Daphnia pulex: one gene and its partner. The protein of the gene in region 1 purifies or fractionates together with the protein of each later gene. This does not show direct contact. Links are inferred from orthologs where the notes say so. Each region holds a gene or a part of one and is shown on either strand. Other genes may lie near its edges. The genes, in order: THO complex subunit 1-like and splicing factor 3B subunit 1-like.

What was found.
Region 2: the proteins of THO complex subunit 1-like (region 1) and splicing factor 3B subunit 1-like purify together in Homo sapiens (co-immunoprecipitation; 4 studies listed by BioGRID and IntAct, with this or other methods). This does not show direct contact. The link is inferred for Daphnia pulex from reciprocal best matches to the Homo sapiens genes THOC1 and SF3B1.

What each region holds. Positions count from the first base shown.
Region 1 is NC_060026.1:6,259,942-6,268,909, forward strand, and holds THO complex subunit 1-like, read right to left. Parts: upstream 5,826-8,968; 5' UTR 5,710-5,825; coding exon 5,668-5,709; intron 5,588-5,667; coding exon 5,505-5,587; intron 5,444-5,504; coding exon 5,151-5,443; intron 4,949-5,150; coding exon 4,726-4,948; intron 4,667-4,725; coding exon 4,561-4,666; intron 4,495-4,560; coding exon 4,226-4,494; intron 4,163-4,225; coding exon 4,033-4,162; intron 3,970-4,032; coding exon 3,761-3,969; intron 3,706-3,760; coding exon 3,562-3,705; intron 3,488-3,561; coding exon 3,340-3,487; intron 2,794-3,339; coding exon 2,515-2,793; intron 1,871-2,514; coding exon 1,715-1,870; 3' UTR 1,638-1,714; downstream 1-1,637. Other genes in the region: calcium-activated chloride channel regulator 1-like, read left to right, coding at 7,410-7,580, 7,661-7,795, 7,871-8,033, 8,106-8,398, 8,459-8,707, 8,778-8,866, 8,953-8,968. UniProt on the Homo sapiens protein: Component of the THO subcomplex of the TREX complex which is thought to couple mRNA transcription, processing and nuclear export, and which specifically associates with spliced mRNA and not with unspliced pre-mRNA.
Region 2 is NC_060027.1:4,648,959-4,657,672, reverse strand, and holds the start of splicing factor 3B subunit 1-like, read left to right. Parts: upstream 1-3,354; 5' UTR 3,355-3,389; coding exon 3,390-3,480; intron 3,481-3,689; coding exon 3,690-4,064; intron 4,065-4,609; coding exon 4,610-4,689; intron 4,690-4,756; coding exon 4,757-5,428; intron 5,429-5,492; coding exon 5,493-5,786; intron 5,787-5,849; coding exon 5,850-5,978; intron 5,979-6,042; coding exon 6,043-6,423; intron 6,424-6,482; coding exon 6,483-6,779; intron 6,780-6,843; coding exon 6,844-7,173; intron 7,174-7,242; coding exon 7,243-7,506; intron 7,507-7,568; coding exon 7,569-7,805; intron 7,806-7,866; coding exon 7,867-8,056; intron 8,057-8,123; coding exon 8,124-8,397; intron 8,398-8,461; coding exon 8,462-8,678; intron 8,679-8,714. Other genes in the region: GPI inositol-deacylase-like, read right to left, coding at 1-112, 184-399, 483-859, 927-1,077, 1,167-1,432, 1,498-1,622, 1,682-1,730, 1,810-2,079 and 3 more. UniProt on the Homo sapiens protein: Component of the 17S U2 SnRNP complex of the spliceosome, a large ribonucleoprotein complex that removes introns from transcribed pre-mRNAs.

The DNA of each region.
Region 1 (8,968 bases):
ACAGGCGTACAAGATAGCGTTGAGCTTTATCGATCGTCTCTATGGTCGAAAGAACATCGTTTAACGAGATCGTTAAATTGAAACTCCCCCCTATACGATATAATCAAATGAATCATCAAGTTGGAATGGCTGATATTTGCAAAAAATGCAAAACCAATAACTTTTACCTAAAAGGAGTTTTACGACTATTATGTTATCAAAAAGTATATAATTGAACTAACTAAATGGCCCGACGTAAAATGATGGACACAAAGATAACATGTTGGAATAAGAAGCGTTGAATAATATTACCTTGGGAAGCCTTGTTGGATAATTCTTCAGAAAAATTTTACGTCGCAACAGGTTAACACATTAACACTTAGCCACAAACCGTGCAGTCGGAGGTCTGATGAAAAGCAATACCGCCAATGCCAAGCTTCAGCCCTCGTCTGCTCCGCTCGAGAGTGGCGCCGATCCTTCGTATACCACACGCTGATGACTAGAGCTCCGGCAACGGCCTATTCGCCGTTATTTCCAAACCCGTGAATCGATGCAACTTCTCCCTTACTCTACCTCTTTCGAACTAGGATCTCTTGGCGACGACGCGATCTCTATTCATGCACTTTTTTTAATGTAGAGAATGGTTATACTCCATGAGCTGGCACTACTCAACACGAATTCTTTTCTTCCACGAAAATAATGATAAAGAACGTCAAAAAACCAAGCTTGTCGCCAGATCTGCTCTGTTCCGACTAAAATCAATAATCGCCAGAAAATTAGTTTAGCTCCTTTCTGTTTTATGTTCCACGTGTTATTTTGTCTTCATTCGAATTCGAATTCACAATTCAATCATGTCATTTATCTTTAATCTTGGATTTCGCTAACGAACCAAAACTCCAAAACTGATTTCGAAAAAGGGCGCAGCGGGGCACAGCTATTTCGTTAACCGAGATGTAGAATGAATCGAAGGGTGTCGACTTCGCATGTCTCCTTTGTATTAAAACGTTGCTTTTCTAGTTAGAAAACTACGTTTCAAGCAAGCAAGGTTGTTTTACGTCATAGTCTATCAGCATGCTTATCAAGTACACACGCGCAGACCAAAAGATGTCGTCCTTCTCGCGATTTTATATGCCCTGCGTCTCGACCCAATGAGTATTGATCGCTTTTACCGTGGTTGTCACTTGCTGCTTGAACTGCTTCAACGGCCCCCCCCCCCCCCCCTCCATGAAGCTTTGTGCTGGCTTTCTGACTAATACAATGTCACACCATGAATATTTCTTTTTTCTTACTTGGGGTTTTCTGGTCTTTCTCGGATGGCAGCCTAAACAAAAGACCCACAATATAACTAATCTATTTAAAAAAAAAACTCTGAAAACTCCAGTTTGCTTAGCCCAACACTTTACATCATATACAAATGTTAAATTCGAAATTACACTAGCTTAGTTATGCTTTAGTGTATCTTAAGTTATAAAGAACTAAAAATTTTCTTAAACACAATATTTTAGGTTTTAATAATATATTCAAGGTAATAAAAATGCTTCTGTAAAGGGGGAGGGAGGCATGAAAGAGCTTATGAATACTCTCCCCGCTGACACGGTATGTGTGAACTGAACAATATAATTCCGTGCTACTCAAGGAACGAGAAGCGTACAGGTGAATTTTCTTGTAAAAATTTTGTGTATTTCTTTTTTTTTTTTTTTTGTGAACAAGATGAGGCATATGAAAGCAATAAAAATCATAATATTCCCTGAGCGCTGTCTAACATGCCGAGGCCTTCTAATGTGTAGAGCAGGTTCTCTGGAGTAGCATCTGCTTCATTTTCTAACCATATCTGAAACATTTTCTTAGCCTGAATTTCGACTTCGTTTGTTTCACTTTCAAAATACTCCACCTGTAAAATATTTTGGAAAACATCAGCAATTTTGGCATTGATTCTTTTGGCATGTCATAATAATATATTGCTAATGGGTATTTTCGAAATAAAAAAAGAAAAAGAAAATCGGAAGAATATTTTTTAAAGATAAAAGTATGTCAGCGACCGTTAGCCATCTACGTTCTTTTTAAATATTCAGGTTTGGCACCTAGGCTGCATGAGTGGAGCCAGTGAGCAGCATATCGATTTCCTATCAAACTAGACGCTATCTACACATCTATAGGTATTTTTCCACTGTTGGCAATACAACTTTTAACTCTCCTGGAATCTTAACTTTAAACATAAAAAAAAAAATAATAATAATAATAATTTAAAAAATATATATATTTGAATTCAGGTTGTGTACGTCTCGGGATTAGATTTTGAACCTAAAGCTGATTGGTGCACATCCAGCTCAGGTGGATGCAATTTTAACTTTATCTCATGCATCCACTGTATATAAAACTATTATCATAGCCAAGAAAACTAGGAAACTAATAATATGACGGAATTTACTCGTTTTCTATGTTTGAAAAAATAATGCAGCGTCATTAAGACTATTAAACTAAAGGGCTTAAATTCAAAATTCGAAAAAAACAGAACGTCTTAAATTTTGTAGTTACCTCATCTGGTCCAAAACCAAGTTTTGGTGCGAGAAGTTTCCAATTAGTCCCGATTTGTTTTGCTAAGCGAGTGAGTTGATCCATTGTGCAGCAAAGTACAGGTTTCTTTTCAGTGCTTTCTTCTTCTTCCATCTCATCCGGTTTTACATTAGTTTCTTCTGGGACTCCTTCAATTTCCGAGTTATTGGACACTGGGTCTGCTTCCGGTTCCATTTGTTCTACCTCACCAGCGTCGTCCACTGGCTCCGGTTTTACATTAGGCAATGCATTTGCTGACTGCTAAATGAGAAGATTGTTATTAATGTACGCAACAATGTTTTGACCGCATTATTTTAAAGTTTGATCAATTTTCAAATTTTGCACGGTTAGAAAATTAGGACAATATTTATCAAATCGCTAGTTGCAAGCTAAGCTTGCCTATTCAAACCCTTTCGATAAATGCTTTTCGTAAACGTAGCATACAATATCATTCTCCCACAATACTTATAAATGTTAGCCTATAATTTTTATTATCATATTATTTGAATAAGCCAACTACAAAACCAGTAATATATCAAGATTATCCAGGGATTTCCAGACAAATGAATGTGAAAAATTACCTGACACCTAACAAACTCGTCTGTATTTCTTCTGGATCAACTATTTCAAAATCTTTGTTTAACAGCAAAACCCGTGCAAAAGTTATGAGTCTCGATAACAAAATTCAAAATACCTCAAAATATTAAAAAAAAATATATATATATATTCCCAAATGAGAACCTAAATCCCTGACTTTTCCCTGTATTGCAGAATGGGAACCGTGATATTCATCTGATTTTACTCTACCTGCATGTCCTTGGCCAGTTTGCGAACGTGCGTTTCCAAGTAATCTGGCAGCCGAGTGATAGGAGTATTACCATGAGTGAAGAAATGTAAACTTCGTCTAGCCAAAAGCCGCAAAGCACGCCACCCAAAATTAGCCTCACTAACTCGCCTGGAAACACGAAAATCGCTCATTCAGTTAAAACATTTTCGGAAAAATGTAAGCTTTAAAGTGCAAATTTTTACTTGTACTGGCTTTCCACTGAAGGATCCAGTTGCTCAATGGCTTCCTCAAAATAGTTTTCTAATGTAGGTAGAAAATCTCGATCTTTAGATCGACAGGCAGCCATGTTATCAGGACATAGATTCCACAAACGATTCATCTCAGCGCTAAAGAGAAAAAGCTGTAATTCAATGTTTTCAAATAATTTCATAATTTACCTACTTTCCAATAATGCACTTATTTCTTTTTGAAGCTTCTCGAATCTGATCTCCAAGACTTCTTTTGAGCCGTCTTGGTCGGCCAACTACGATCGTCTTTTTTTCTCCATTGGTACCATCTTTTATAGTATCATTATCAGTGGTTGAGCTGGTTATGCTGGGCCGGAATTCCGGGCAGCCATCGTTCTTCCAGTTGCTCCATAATTCTTCCCGCTACATCCAACAAACACCGATGGATGATATTTTTTAAAACTACTTTTATACAACTCAGTATACCTTTAGTATGTGTCGAATAGATTGGACGAAAGAAGCGCCATCTGGAGGTGTATCTTTCAATAACCGATAGACTTGATCGATAGCCTCGGAAACCCACGTAGTTTGTTCTTCGTTGAGCTTGTGAGTTTCGCTATAAATAGAAGCAATTCAAGCGGTTGAAATAGTCTAACTAATGAAACTTATTGAAACTAACTGTTTAAACTTGACAGGTGAATCCAGATATTGGAACATAATCAGAAACTGCAGCAGAATGTAACGTCTGAAGTTGGAGTCACCGAGCTGAAGTTCGAGAAGATTTTGACTCGTCAAATATTTGGCGAAATATTGTTGGACATTTCCACCATTCATGCTGGTTTCATTCATATCGATGTTTAATGCCACATCTGCCTCATCCCATTTAGAGCGGTTTCTCCGCTCATCCAGTTTGATAGTAGAAAATGCAGACAAAACATCACTAGTATGCTAAAGAATAATTGTTTTTCTGTTAGATGGAAAATTTTAACTTGAAATACTTGATGTTTTAGCTACCAAACAAAACGTTTTCCACGGGATTTTCGTATAGCACTGATTAGGGTTTCGAAAGAAATCTTGTAGGGACCAAAATTTTTTGTACAGATTGTAGTCGGAGCTCAAACTACAAAACAAGAAAATTTAGAAAAATATTGCAATAACTTGTCAATCAAATATATATACCTTTCTTCTACTTCCATTGCATCCTTGTGCTTTTCAGAATTAGCAGATATATCAGCAGCGTAGCTTTCATCTTTAGCTCCAAATGTCGTCAAATTATCCAAATTAAATTCGCTTACTACGTTAAGTCCGGATCGTTCAGAGAATGGGAAAAATTTTGCAAGAAATAGAAGAATTCGACCACAGAAAACCGTGTTCTGGCTTCGGGACAAGCGCCTCAGCAGATCTGAAAAAAAATATACATATAAAATTCATTTCAGCAACACAACTCACATAAAGCGAAACACTGTAAATGAATTTAGCAGAGTGGTATACATTGAAATAAGAGTAATGGATTGAATTCATATCAATACAGAATTAGATGCATCCAGTTACATAAATATTTGTGTCATACATTATTAGAATTTTGGAAAAATGTCTTTACATACCATTGCAAAGGCGAAGTAAGGTATTTTTACACTGATTGAAGAAAAGCTCTTGTTTCCAAATCGCTACTTTCATTTCAACCATGTAGAAAATTTCCTCACATTTTTCCAGAGACAGGATGTCAAAAGCATCTGTGAGCAAAATCACAGGCAGTGTTGGAGAACATACTAGAGCTACTGCACAATCCAGACTCAACTGCAACAACTTTTCAAACAATGGTATGGAAAAGTTTGAGGAATCACTCAAAAATCTGTCTCTAAACGCCTGATCCCATACAGCTTTTTTATCAGCTTCCCTACAATAAATATGTTTAATTACAATAATATGTAAATACTTTCTGCTTTGATTAAATTTACCCAAGATGAGCTGTATTGTTAACTGAAAGTAATTCACTGATAGTGGGTGGACCACCCAGTTTAAGAGCTTCAGAAATGGAATCCTACAGAAACCAAACACAGAAGACATAAGATTTTTCAATTTATTTCAAATATGGCTCATTGATAGATTTTTTTACTGTACCAGAAACGAACACCGAGTTTTCTCAAAATCAAATATTTCCATTTCAGTGGTTTTTTTACAAAGTAAGAAACATAAAAATAGTCGTGTTTTCGAAACGATCAGACGACGCTTCAAAACTTGGTTGCGTTGCCAAGTTTGTAAATTGCAATGTTGCCATTCTAAAATCAACTTGATTTTTTTTTCCGAATCCCGGAAAGCGGAAATTCTGGAAAGAAGTAAATGTCAAACCATTCAAGTTTAACTAATAAGTAATCGGTGATAATCAAATAATTTATCTGTTCAAAGAATATGTTTTGACTGAGATTACCGTTTTGACGTTTTCATACAAAAATGTTACTCGATTATCATCCCCTAGATGGCGAGTCGACGGATCAATAAAAATGGTGTTCTACAAAAGAGAGTCCTTTTTTGAAAAATCATCTAACGCGGGACTGCACCGAGTTTAATAAAGATAAAATTCCCATATAAAAACTACCTAATTTTAAGACATTTCTCATGTTTAATGTAATCGACAATAAGTAGCCTTTTTGAACTCAATATTTTCAATAGCATTCCAATGCTACTCATTTCACTACTAAACAATATTTAAGCGCATTCAAATACTCGAATGTTTTCAACTTCCATTCGTATTACTTTTATCATTTGATTTCCTATGAAAATCGGCAGGTATTGCCTGCCATATTACAACTACAGTATCGACTGCACTATCTACCGAGATTTCATAACCTTGTTCTAGTCTCTATATTTGAACTACCTCTGTTTGCTTACGAGCTCTGATTTTATGTCTACTTCCTGAAGTGCACCAGGAAAAGGCATAGAGGATTAGAGATATCGATTCTTTACTGCAGGGAACCGCCGTTTGTGGCACTTTTTAAAATCCTATTTCGCCTTTGATCATCTCAAATAAGAATAAATTAAAAGGAAATTATTAGTAGCATTATAAAACACCAGATAAAAGATATAAAATTTTACTTATTTCAAACCAATTTATCTGTGTCATTTGGACTGCAGGACGTCATCAACGAAAGATGACGCGGCACGTAAGCTGAAGCAAGAAACGCGAATCCTTAGGCCTTATTCTATTGTAATTAAACATGTAGATGGCGATCGCTTTGAGAGCCTTTAATGAGAAGAAGTTGTTTTCTCTGTTCAAATCGTCCCTGTGAACGAATAGAAGAAGGATGATTGCCAAAAACTTTGTCGATTTGTTTTTTATTTGCTGGCTACAATAACTCTTTGTCAAGCCTTTAATGTAATTATCTTGGGTTATTTACTCTCTGCATTGGCTAGTAACAATTGATGGGAGTAAAGGATAACTCGCAAAACATTACTATATCTCAAGCTAAAGTACGCAAACAAAACAGTCACAACGCTGTCTCCAGGGCAAAATGCCAAGATGTACTTGTACTTTGAAGTATCAAAATTGACAAAAAGTTGGTTTTTTCCCCGGTTTGCTATCAAAATTTCTCAACTTCACCAGGATAAAGGAAAAAATAAAAAGATATCGCTAAAAAAAAAAAAAAAAAAAATACCCATGGCCCATGACAAAGGAGCAAAAGGGGCCGAACGGCTTGCAGATAATTTATTTGTCACGTATAAGGCTATCTAACGGTATTATTCAATTGATCGCAAACGGTTGTGCAATCTTTTTTCTGTGATTCACCTTTAGGTTGCGTGTATATAAACTGGTCCGAAAATTTCACTTTTCAGTTCCACTTTATAGTTCCAAAAGCGACGACACCATGGCGGTCTGTCATCATCGTCTTCTCTTGTTGCTGCTCTTTAGCTGCCTGTCTCTTCGCGCCATCGGCAGCCGAGTCAACATAACCAACAACGGCTATCGGGATATTGTCATAGCAATTTCACCTGATGTTCCCTCAGATCAAGCTGATGATTTATTGGATAACATCAAGGTAACATTTTAGAGTTTCTTTCAAAGCTTTTACTATTCCTTGTTCTTGTTACAAAAGAATTTTATTATTTCTTCTTAAAGTTGTTAATCACTGAAGCTTCAGCTGATTTGTATGAAGCAACTCGGAATCGATCCTACATTGAATCAGTGAATATTCTGATCCCTCAGACGTGGGAAAACGTCATAGCCAACGCCAGTACATGGGAAAATTTGCAAGTATACTTGAATAAATTTATCGCATAAAAAGGAGAAATTAATTCGCAAATGGCAAAATTTTATGAACTAAACCAGAATGCGGACATTCAAATCGACCTTCCGAACTGGAAATATGGAGAAAGACCATACACCGTGCAATTGGGCGGATGTGGCGATCCTGGCGAATACATTCACTTGACGCCCAATTACGTCAAGAATTTCGATTCGGAATTCAACTTGTTTCAGTTTGGGCCAGCAGGTAGTGTTTATTTTGATATTGTACGTACCTTAATTATAATTACAACAATGTAAAATTAATTTTAAATGACAGGCAAGGTTATCGTGAGAGAATGGGCTCGACTGCGTTACGGAGTGTTTGAGGAGCACGGCTACACGGGCGACGAGTCAGCCTTCCCAATGTTCTACCGGTCAGCATCTGCCGGGCAACAAACGGCCGATTTGGTGCCTAATGTTTGCTCTGATGAGCCCGTTGACTTTACTTTTGATTACGGCTGTCATGTCGATCCGCAAACGGGCCTCTACGACTCAAATTGCACCTACAGTTTCACAGACCAGTTCAGACCAGGATCGTCCATCATGTCTGATTACAGGATGCTTAAATCGGTATTTTCCATTATTGAAAAGATTGCTTTTGAATTTCATTAACCCCGTCCATGGTTTTAGGCCATGCATTTTTGTGACGATGAGGGATCCAGTCTTCACAAACACAATCGAGAAGCACCCAATCAGCATAACGCAGTTTGCGACACGCAAAGTGTCTGGTCGGTGATTACACGTCACATCGATTTTGTCGAAAACAACAATTTGCCAGCCACCATCGCTGATTTGAAGCCAACATTTAATGTCGTCCGAGTTTTGAACGGAGCTCGTTACGTTCTCGTTACTGACGTGTCGGGCAGCATGGTCGATTATGTAAGCACATTGAATAATGAGTATTTACTATACGATTTCTATTATTTTACTATGCGATTTTTTCTTTTAGAATCGTATTGGAAGGTTGTACGATTCGGCTCGACGTTGGATTCAGTATGACATTCCCGAAGGAACTTCGTTAGGGATCGTCAAGTTCCAGTAAATGAGGCTATAACTAAATATATTTAAAACTTTTTCATTAAATTCATCCTATTCTTTTTGTCCTTTTTGTCTTATATTCATAGTTCGTATGCGACGGTG
Region 2 (8,714 bases), on another chromosome or scaffold:
AATGAATCCAAGAATGAAGTACATGAAAGGAAAGCCAAGCCCATGATTCCGGAGAAGAAATTCATCGGACGGCAGAAAAGGCCACGCCGGTAGATGTAACGAATCGATAATTCTAGAAGTATTAAAAGTGTCAATAATTTAAAAAATATATACTATGGTCTCATTAAATTCAACAAGTAATACCCAAAGCAAATAGAGAAAGCCTCAGGAATAAGGGCCATTTTGATGACTGGCATTTCGACAAGGCAAGTTAAAATGGACGGGACTGCATTATTAGATTGTTTCTCTTTAAGTTGCCTTGAAAAACAATACAAAAAAATTGCAAATAGCATCGGCAAAAGAAAAGGCGAATAAAACCGGGCCAGTTGGGCACACATGCCGATCCAGTCAGTAGAAACTCTATTAGGAAAATAATAAAAAAATTTAATTTATGAATATGTACATGATAAATTATAAGAATCTTTTAAAACCGCAATTCATACTCGATTTCGTAAGTGCATTTTGGATTGGGACTGATAAACTGAAGATGCACTGAATCATATTCGCTATCGACAGGAGCTTTAGGAACATGAAGGTGAACAGAGAAGCTCTGATTTGACAGAAAGTATTGGCTTTCATGAGACCATGGCACAATTTTTCGTACAATTGCATTTTTTTCCATAGGACAATCGTTTCCGTTGATCTTAAGGAAAATTGACTGCCATGATCTATTGAGGTCTGGTAAAGTTACGTTGAATGAAACGGCGTTACTCGGAACCACTATCTTTCCAGCTGAAGCAAATGGGATGTATCTTGCGAAAGGGAAGCGGATTTCAACGTTTCTATCAATAGAGCGGTGCACATCAAACAAAATAGATCCCTATGGTAAAAGGCACACATGAAAAGTTATTAAATATTAAATTGTAGAAAAGAACTTAACGAAGTACCTTTTGATAACTTTTGGGGATTAAAAATACAATATGAGTGAAACCATTCTCTTTGAGTTTGACCAAGTCCAGGTAGACAAACTTCCGCTTAACAAAATCACCGGCATTCGGTAACAGAACAGTTTGATGTGATAAATCGATACCGCGCTCACTACATATTAGAGTGTTAAAAAACAACAATACATGAAGAAAAACTAAAATTTAAGATTAAATTCATCATAAAAAATGTGTGATAATTACCAGAATCTAGTATTTTTGTGCCAAGTCAAAGCAACACAGCCGAAAACCCAATATTTAATGGGTAGTCCAGATGCTACAGCCGCCAAACGATCTCGATAAGCGTTGTCGACTAACGGAATCATATAATAGCTATTGCTATATTTTTCCTTTTCTTGTTCAATGCTGGCAGTGAAATGTGGCACAACAACTTCTCTCCATCGTCCTTCTGGATCAAAATCGACTTCTCTTACATTCAGGAAATTTTTAAAGCTTTTCCCTTCATTGCGCTTTTGTAAATTGGAAAAAAAAAATGTTGGAAAATATGAAATTTAAATTTGGATTAATTAATAACCTTCATGAGGTGATAGAGGAGAATTTCTTTTCGTAGATCAACCCGTTCAATCCAGTTCTGCGTTGAAGGTTCAACCATATCGAATAGAGATCGAACTACTGTCGAAACTACCTGTTTACACCACACTAAACACTACATTACTACTTACACAAATAAGCGTAATTAGCATTTCTTAGTACCGTACCTATACACAGATGATCAACAGCAAGCCAAACTGTCGGCATTTCGGTAGTCTGGCAAATAAAAATCGAATTTATACATTTTGACTGAATCTATTTTAACAAATTTATATTTTAATTGTTGCTAATTTACCAGAACGTTGATTGTTGGTGAATTAGCAGCAGTAAGCCCAGACCGAACTTGAATATCTCTGTCCGCTCCACCGATTGATGCTAAAGCGACGTGTTTTGTTCGATTTGTCGATTCGTTCCAAAATGTACTGGTTTCTTGATAAAAACTGTCCATGTCCTCATCTAGCACTATAACAGGACTTTTGTGTGGGGTGGCTAGAGTGATAATGGTGGTCACTAGAGCAGAATCAAAATCCATTTCACTAAAAACTGCTTTAGCAACCATTCCCCCCTGAAATATATAAAGAATAATTATACAAAATGTTGGATATTAAATTTGTCAGTACCCAACCATAGAGTGGCCAATTAAAAGCAGTGACTTTTGTTGGTGATGAGTAGATTTGTAGAGATGAAGAATTCTGTTAATACAACTACTAGTAAACATAGTTTGTTGCTTCAGTATACCCCCATACAGAGCTGAAAACTCTTCATGGAAATCAATTGTAAAAAAGTCAAAGTGAAAATGTTTCTTTGAATCCAGAGATTTGCGATAAGCAAAAGAAGCAAGAGACCGAACTGTAATTGCCACACATTAAATTAATTTTTGCTATAACAAGTTCATGACATAGTGAAACTATACCTTGTTTATAAGACCCTGCATTTCCTGGTATAAAAAGAACTGGAATTCCAGTAAATTCACCCTTTTTATATCTTTCAGCTTGCTCTCCTTCTCCGTAAACAAATAAGTTGTAATTAGGGAATTCAGTTGATGTTGGTTCATTTAATTTGATTTTCTATAATAACAGAATTTTTAAAAATGGCAATCTTTAATAAGGACAGAAGTAATACTCTTACAATATATTGCGGATATTCAAACATGAAGGTCATTTCGCATTTGTTGTCTTCCAATTCGAAAACAAAACGATGAATCCCTCGAATGAAGGAGAACGTGAGAAGGGAGCCAACTAACAGTTTGAGCAAATTGTTTTTCTTCATTTTCACGTAAAATTTATGTGTCTCCCTTCACGACAATACACTTTTCACCAGTAAATAGTTTAAGCAATATTATACCAAGATAAATATATTTTTTGTAAACTATGAAATTAGCTTAAAACTATGACAACAAAAAGGAAAATATTGTCATTTGACATTTCAAAATACTTACTAAGAATGTCGTCTGCACATCCGAATTGCATTGTTGCCAATATGCTGTAGAAATCATTGAAAAATATTTGACTCGTCGATATTCGATAACAACCATGAGTAATAAGGATTAGGAAATCATAATATAGTATGGAAAAAGGCATTTCATGACTCTTACTCGATAGAAATTGCCTTCAACTATTATTTTTCAAGCGTTTAAAGACTCAACTCAAGAGTCAAGAGTCAAGAGAGGCTGACCGGAGCCGCACGTCCGCACCGGCCATTTTATAAATACAGATTTATTATTCTATAAAAAATATTTAATACAGAAACGGAAAAAAACTTTCGTCTACAAATAGAAACTATAGACACACACAATTTGGTGGAATTCGACGATGAAATGTATAATTTGCATTTCTACGCATTTGAGATTTGATTTGACAGCAGCAACAAATCTTCATGCATGATCTGGCAACAAAGTGCGTTGTAAAGAAGAGTGGAGAAGCTCTAAAAATGGACGCGAATAATAAGGCACCGAATACGTACGACGGTAATATTGTTTTTCTATTTACATCATATTGGCAATTATTTCAAAGATAAGATAATTTACAGCTTTTTTTGCTACCCAAATTTTTATCATTGGATTATTTGGTTAACTTATTTACCTCTAGTTGCACATGTGTATAAGTGTCTCATAACAACTCTGAACATGCCATAATATTAACTGTGTTTAACATGTGGTTTGATATGTCTTTCCAGAAATTGCAGCTCAAGTTCAGGAAATCCAGTCAAGGAGCAAGGTAGATATATCTGAAAAAGATCGCATCGGATTTGGCGAATCAGGCATTTTTGATTCAGAAATCTACGGTGAAGTTCAAAGTCGATTTGATGGATATGTAACTTCAATTGCCACAACTGATGAAGTTGAAGAAGAAGATTATGATGGAGCAGTTGCCACTGGAGGCAGGCAAACTTTCACAGCACCAGCTGCGATTCTCAATGAAGTGGCAGGAGAAGACTTTGACCCATTTGCTGAACATCGCAGACCAACTATTGCTGACAGAGAAGATGAATACAGAGCAAAGCGTCGGAAGTTGATTATTTCCCCAGAACGTGTTGATCCATTTGCTGAAGGTAAATTTAATATTTTTTATTCATTTTAGTATACTTGCTTGTTGTAATGCAAAGTGGAACACATTATTCAATTTAATCTTATTTTAGAATTAAGAACATCTGTGATTGTGAAGTAAACTCTTTTTGTTTATCTATATTCTCATGTCGTGACCCAATGGCAAATTAAAAGAGTGCCATAGCAACCAGTTAAGTTAAGAGCTCTTGGAGGTGAGTAATCTAAGGCTCTCAAAGGGGAATTGTTACAAGAAACTATTAAGGATACTAGAAGCCAATATTAACCTAGAACAAGCTACTTAATTATAGGTGGATTATTCACTTGTGGGCCAGGAGCTGATCTGCTCAAATTCCCCTTCCGTAATCATCACCACGTATGTATTTGTAACTTCTTGTGGGCGAAGAAACTGGTTTAAGAGTTTTTTCTACTTCCGTCGCTCACAGGGAGTTTGGGTCTCGACTGCCAATTTTTTCTTTAAATTTCGATTACAAAATCTTCCTTACTTTGAATAATAACCCATTTTCCTTTTTTATATTGCTATTCTGTGCAGGCGGTAAAACCCCAGACGTTGGATCTCGCACTTACGCTCATATTATTCGTGAACAACAGTTGCGCGCAGAAGAGCAAGAGGTAATGACAATGGATAATTTATGGTGTAGTTGAGATTATACATGTAATCATTTGTATTCATTTCTAGGTCCGCCGGAAGCTTGCCGACAAAGCTAAGGATGGTACCTTAAAAGCTGTAACGGTACCATCAAACGGCGAATCAAATGAAGCGCCACGGAAACGTGCAGCCCGTTGGGATCAAACAGGTGAAGGTGACACAGGTCCTGCTGCCACTCCAGTTGCAGCACCAACTGTTCCTACGGTAAAGAAGAAAACCTGGGAAGTGGAAACGCCAGCAGTAGCTCGTTGGGATGAAACTCCTTCTCGCTCCAAAGGCTCTGAAACCCCGGCAGCTGGAGGTGTTACCCCTGGAAGTCGTCTGTGGGATGCTACGCCGGGAAATGACGACTCCCGCAAACGGAATCGCTGGGACGAAACACCGAAAACTGAAAGAGCCGGCGAATTTACTCCTGGTTTTGGTTCTGGTTGGGCTGAGACACCACGGACAGATCGTGGAGGAGACACAATCCAGGAGACACCAACTCCTTCGGCATCGAAACGTCGCAGCCGTTGGGATGAAACACCAGCTAATTCCAGTGCGACACCGTCTGGTGGAATGACTCCGCAAACTCCTTCACTATCTGGAGCTATGACTCCAAGAATGACACCGGGTGGAGCTACTCCAATCGGACAAAAAGCTATGGCCATGGCTACCCCAACTCCAGGACACCTTGTTACCATGACTCCTGAACAACTACAAGTAATCAGTGCATTATCCGTTTTGATGTTCAATATGTAACCCACAATGAAATTTATCGAAATAGGCATACCGATGGGAAAGAGAAATCGACGAAAGAAACCGCCCAATTGGAGATGATGAACTAGACGGGATGTTTCCAGAAGGCTACAAGGTCCTGCCTCCTCCAGCTGGATACATTCCTCTACGTACCCCGGCGCGCAAATTAACTGCAACTCCCACTCCATTAGCTGGGGCCAATTCGGGATTCTACATGCAACAAGAAGATAAAACTGCCTCAAAATACATGGACACACAACCCAAAGGCGGTAACTTGCCCTTTTTGAAGCCAGAAGATGCCCAATATTTTGACAAGCTATTGGTAATTATACTTAACTATTTCTTTTAAGTAAAATTAAAAAGTTTTTACTCTATTATTTTGCAGATTGATGTTGATGAAGATTCATTGAGCCCAGAAGAGCTTAAAGAACGAAAAATCATGACTCTTTTACTTAAAATCAAGAACGGTACCCCACCTATGCGTAAATCTGCATTAAGACAAATCACTGATAAGGTAAACTGATATATATTATTTTAAAGTAATTGTATCTTCAAACTGCGTTTATGTTTTTCAATAGGCTAGAGAATTCGGAGCTGGTCCACTTTTCAATCAGATCCTTCCTTTATTGATGTCTCCTACCCTTGAAGACCAAGAGCGACATTTGCTCGTTAAAGTTATCGATCGCATTCTCTACAAATTGGATGATCTAGTGCGTCCATACGTCCACAAAATCCTTGTCGTTATTGAACCGCTGCTAATCGACGAAGACTATTATGCTCGTGTTGAAGGTCGAGAAATCATCTCTAATTTAGCCAAAGCAGCTGGTTTAGCAACTATGATTTCTACCATGAGACCTGATATCGATAACATTGATGAATATGTTCGTAACACTACTGCAAGAGCTTTTGCTGTGGTAGCTTCTGCACTGGGAATTCCTTCCCTTCTTCCCTTTCTAAAGGTATATAGTTTGTTTCAGTTTTAAGATGGGCTTGTTCTTATCTATTATTTTTATTTTAGGCCGTTTGCAAGAGTAAAAAGTCATGGCAAGCTCGCCATACTGGCATCAAAATCGTCCAACAAATTGCTATTCTTATGGGATGTGCTATTTTACCTCACTTGCGAAATCTGGTTGAGATCATTGAACATGGATTGGTAGATGAGCAACAGAAAGTGCGCACCATCACTGCCTTGTCCATTGCTGCGCTGGCAGAAGCCGCGACTCCGTACGGTATTGAGAGCTTTGACTCTGTTTTAAAACCGTTGTGGAAGGGTATAAGAACTCATCGTGGTAAGGGATTGGCTGCTTTCCTTAAGGTATGTTAATTGAAAGTAAAATATTATCCTGCATACTGTAATATTATTTGTTTAAAAAAAATAGGCTATTGGCTATTTGATTCCTCTCATGGATGCCGAATACGCCAATTATTACACTCGCGAAGTGATGTTAATTTTAATTCGCGAGTTTCAGTCACCTGACGAAGAAATGAAAAAGATTGTACTTAAAGTGGTGAAACAGTGTTGCGCAACTGACGGTGTGGAACCTCAGTATATTAAAACAGAAATTTTGCCACATTTCTTCAAAAGTTTCTGGAATCATAGAATGGCATTAGATAGACGTAACTATCGCCAGCTAGTTGACACAACAGTTGAAATCGCTAATCGTGTTGGTGCAGCGGAAATTATTGGCCGAGTGGTTGACGATTTAAAGGTTTTATTCATTTTCATTATTTATAATTCAGTGACAGTCAAATAACATGTTGAATATTTTTCCTAACAGGACGAAAATGAACAATACCGGAAAATGGTTATGGAAACGGTCGAAAAGATCATGGGTAATCTTGGTGCCGCTGATATCGACGCTCGCTTGGAAGAGCAGCTCATCGACGGTATTCTCTACGCATTTCAGGAACAAACGACTGAAGATGTTGTGATGCTAAATGGATTCGGTACAATCGTGAACTCACTTTCCAAACGAGTTAAACCTTATTTGCCACAAATTTGTGGTACTATTTTATGGCGTTTGAACAACAAATCAGCAAAAGTAATGTTATACAACTTTTATTTGTAAACGTTCGTTTTAATATAATGATTTTTATTCCATAGGTTCGGCAACAAGCTGCTGATTTGATTAGCCGTATTGCAGCAGTAATGAAAACTTGTCAGGAAGAAAAGCTCATGGGGCATCTGGGAGTTGTTCTCTATGAATATCTTGGCGAAGAGTACCCTGAAGTTCTTGGGTCTATTTTAGCTGCTCTTAAAGCTATTGTTAACGTAATTGGCATGCACAAGATGACACCGCCAATCAAAGATTTACTTCCCCGATTAACACCTATTTTGAAGGTTCGCTTTTTTAACATATCAGTAATTTATTTTTCTTATTGTGGTTTTATTATCATTTTAGAATCGGCATGAAAAAGTACAGGAAAATTGCATCGATTTGGTTGGGCGTATTGCCGATCGTGGGCCAGAGTACGTTTCAGCTCGAGAGTGGATGCGCATTTGTTTTGAGCTTTTAGAACTCTTGAAAGCACACAAGAAAGCCATTCGACGAGCTACAGTCAACACTTTTGGTTATATCGCCAAAGCAATTGGTGAGACCGAAATTGTCATGGTTATTATGTACAATATAATTATTTATTTTTCAACAACAAATTTCAGGCCCACACGATGTATTGGCTACACTGCTTAATAATTTGAAGGTACAGGAGCGCCAAAATCGTGTTTGTACAACCGTTGCCATTGCAATTGTGGCTGAAACTTGTTCGCCCTTCACCGTCCTCCCTGGTCTTATGAACGAATATAGAGTCCCGGAACTTAATGTTCAAAATGGTGTTTTGAAGTCGATGTCATTCTTGTTCGAGTACATTGGCGAGATGGGGAAGGATTACATTTATTCAGTTACATCGCTCTTAGAAGACGCTTTGATGGATCGGTAAGTTTCTAGTTATTTTGAATTTATGATTAATTAGTTAATGAAGCACATCTGTTTATTTTAGTGACCTGGTCCATCGTCAAACTGCTTGTGCAGCCATCAAGCACATGGCTTTGGGTGTTTTCGGCTTTGGTTGTGAAGATGCCCTCACACACCTGTTGAACTACGTTTGGCCCAATATTTTTGAAACATCCCCTCATTTGGTTCAAGCTTTTATGGATGCTGTGGAGGGTATGAGAGTAGCCCTGGGCCCTATTAAAGTCTTACAATACGCACTGCAGGTAACTTAATTATTTGATTGAATTAGAATTTCAGTT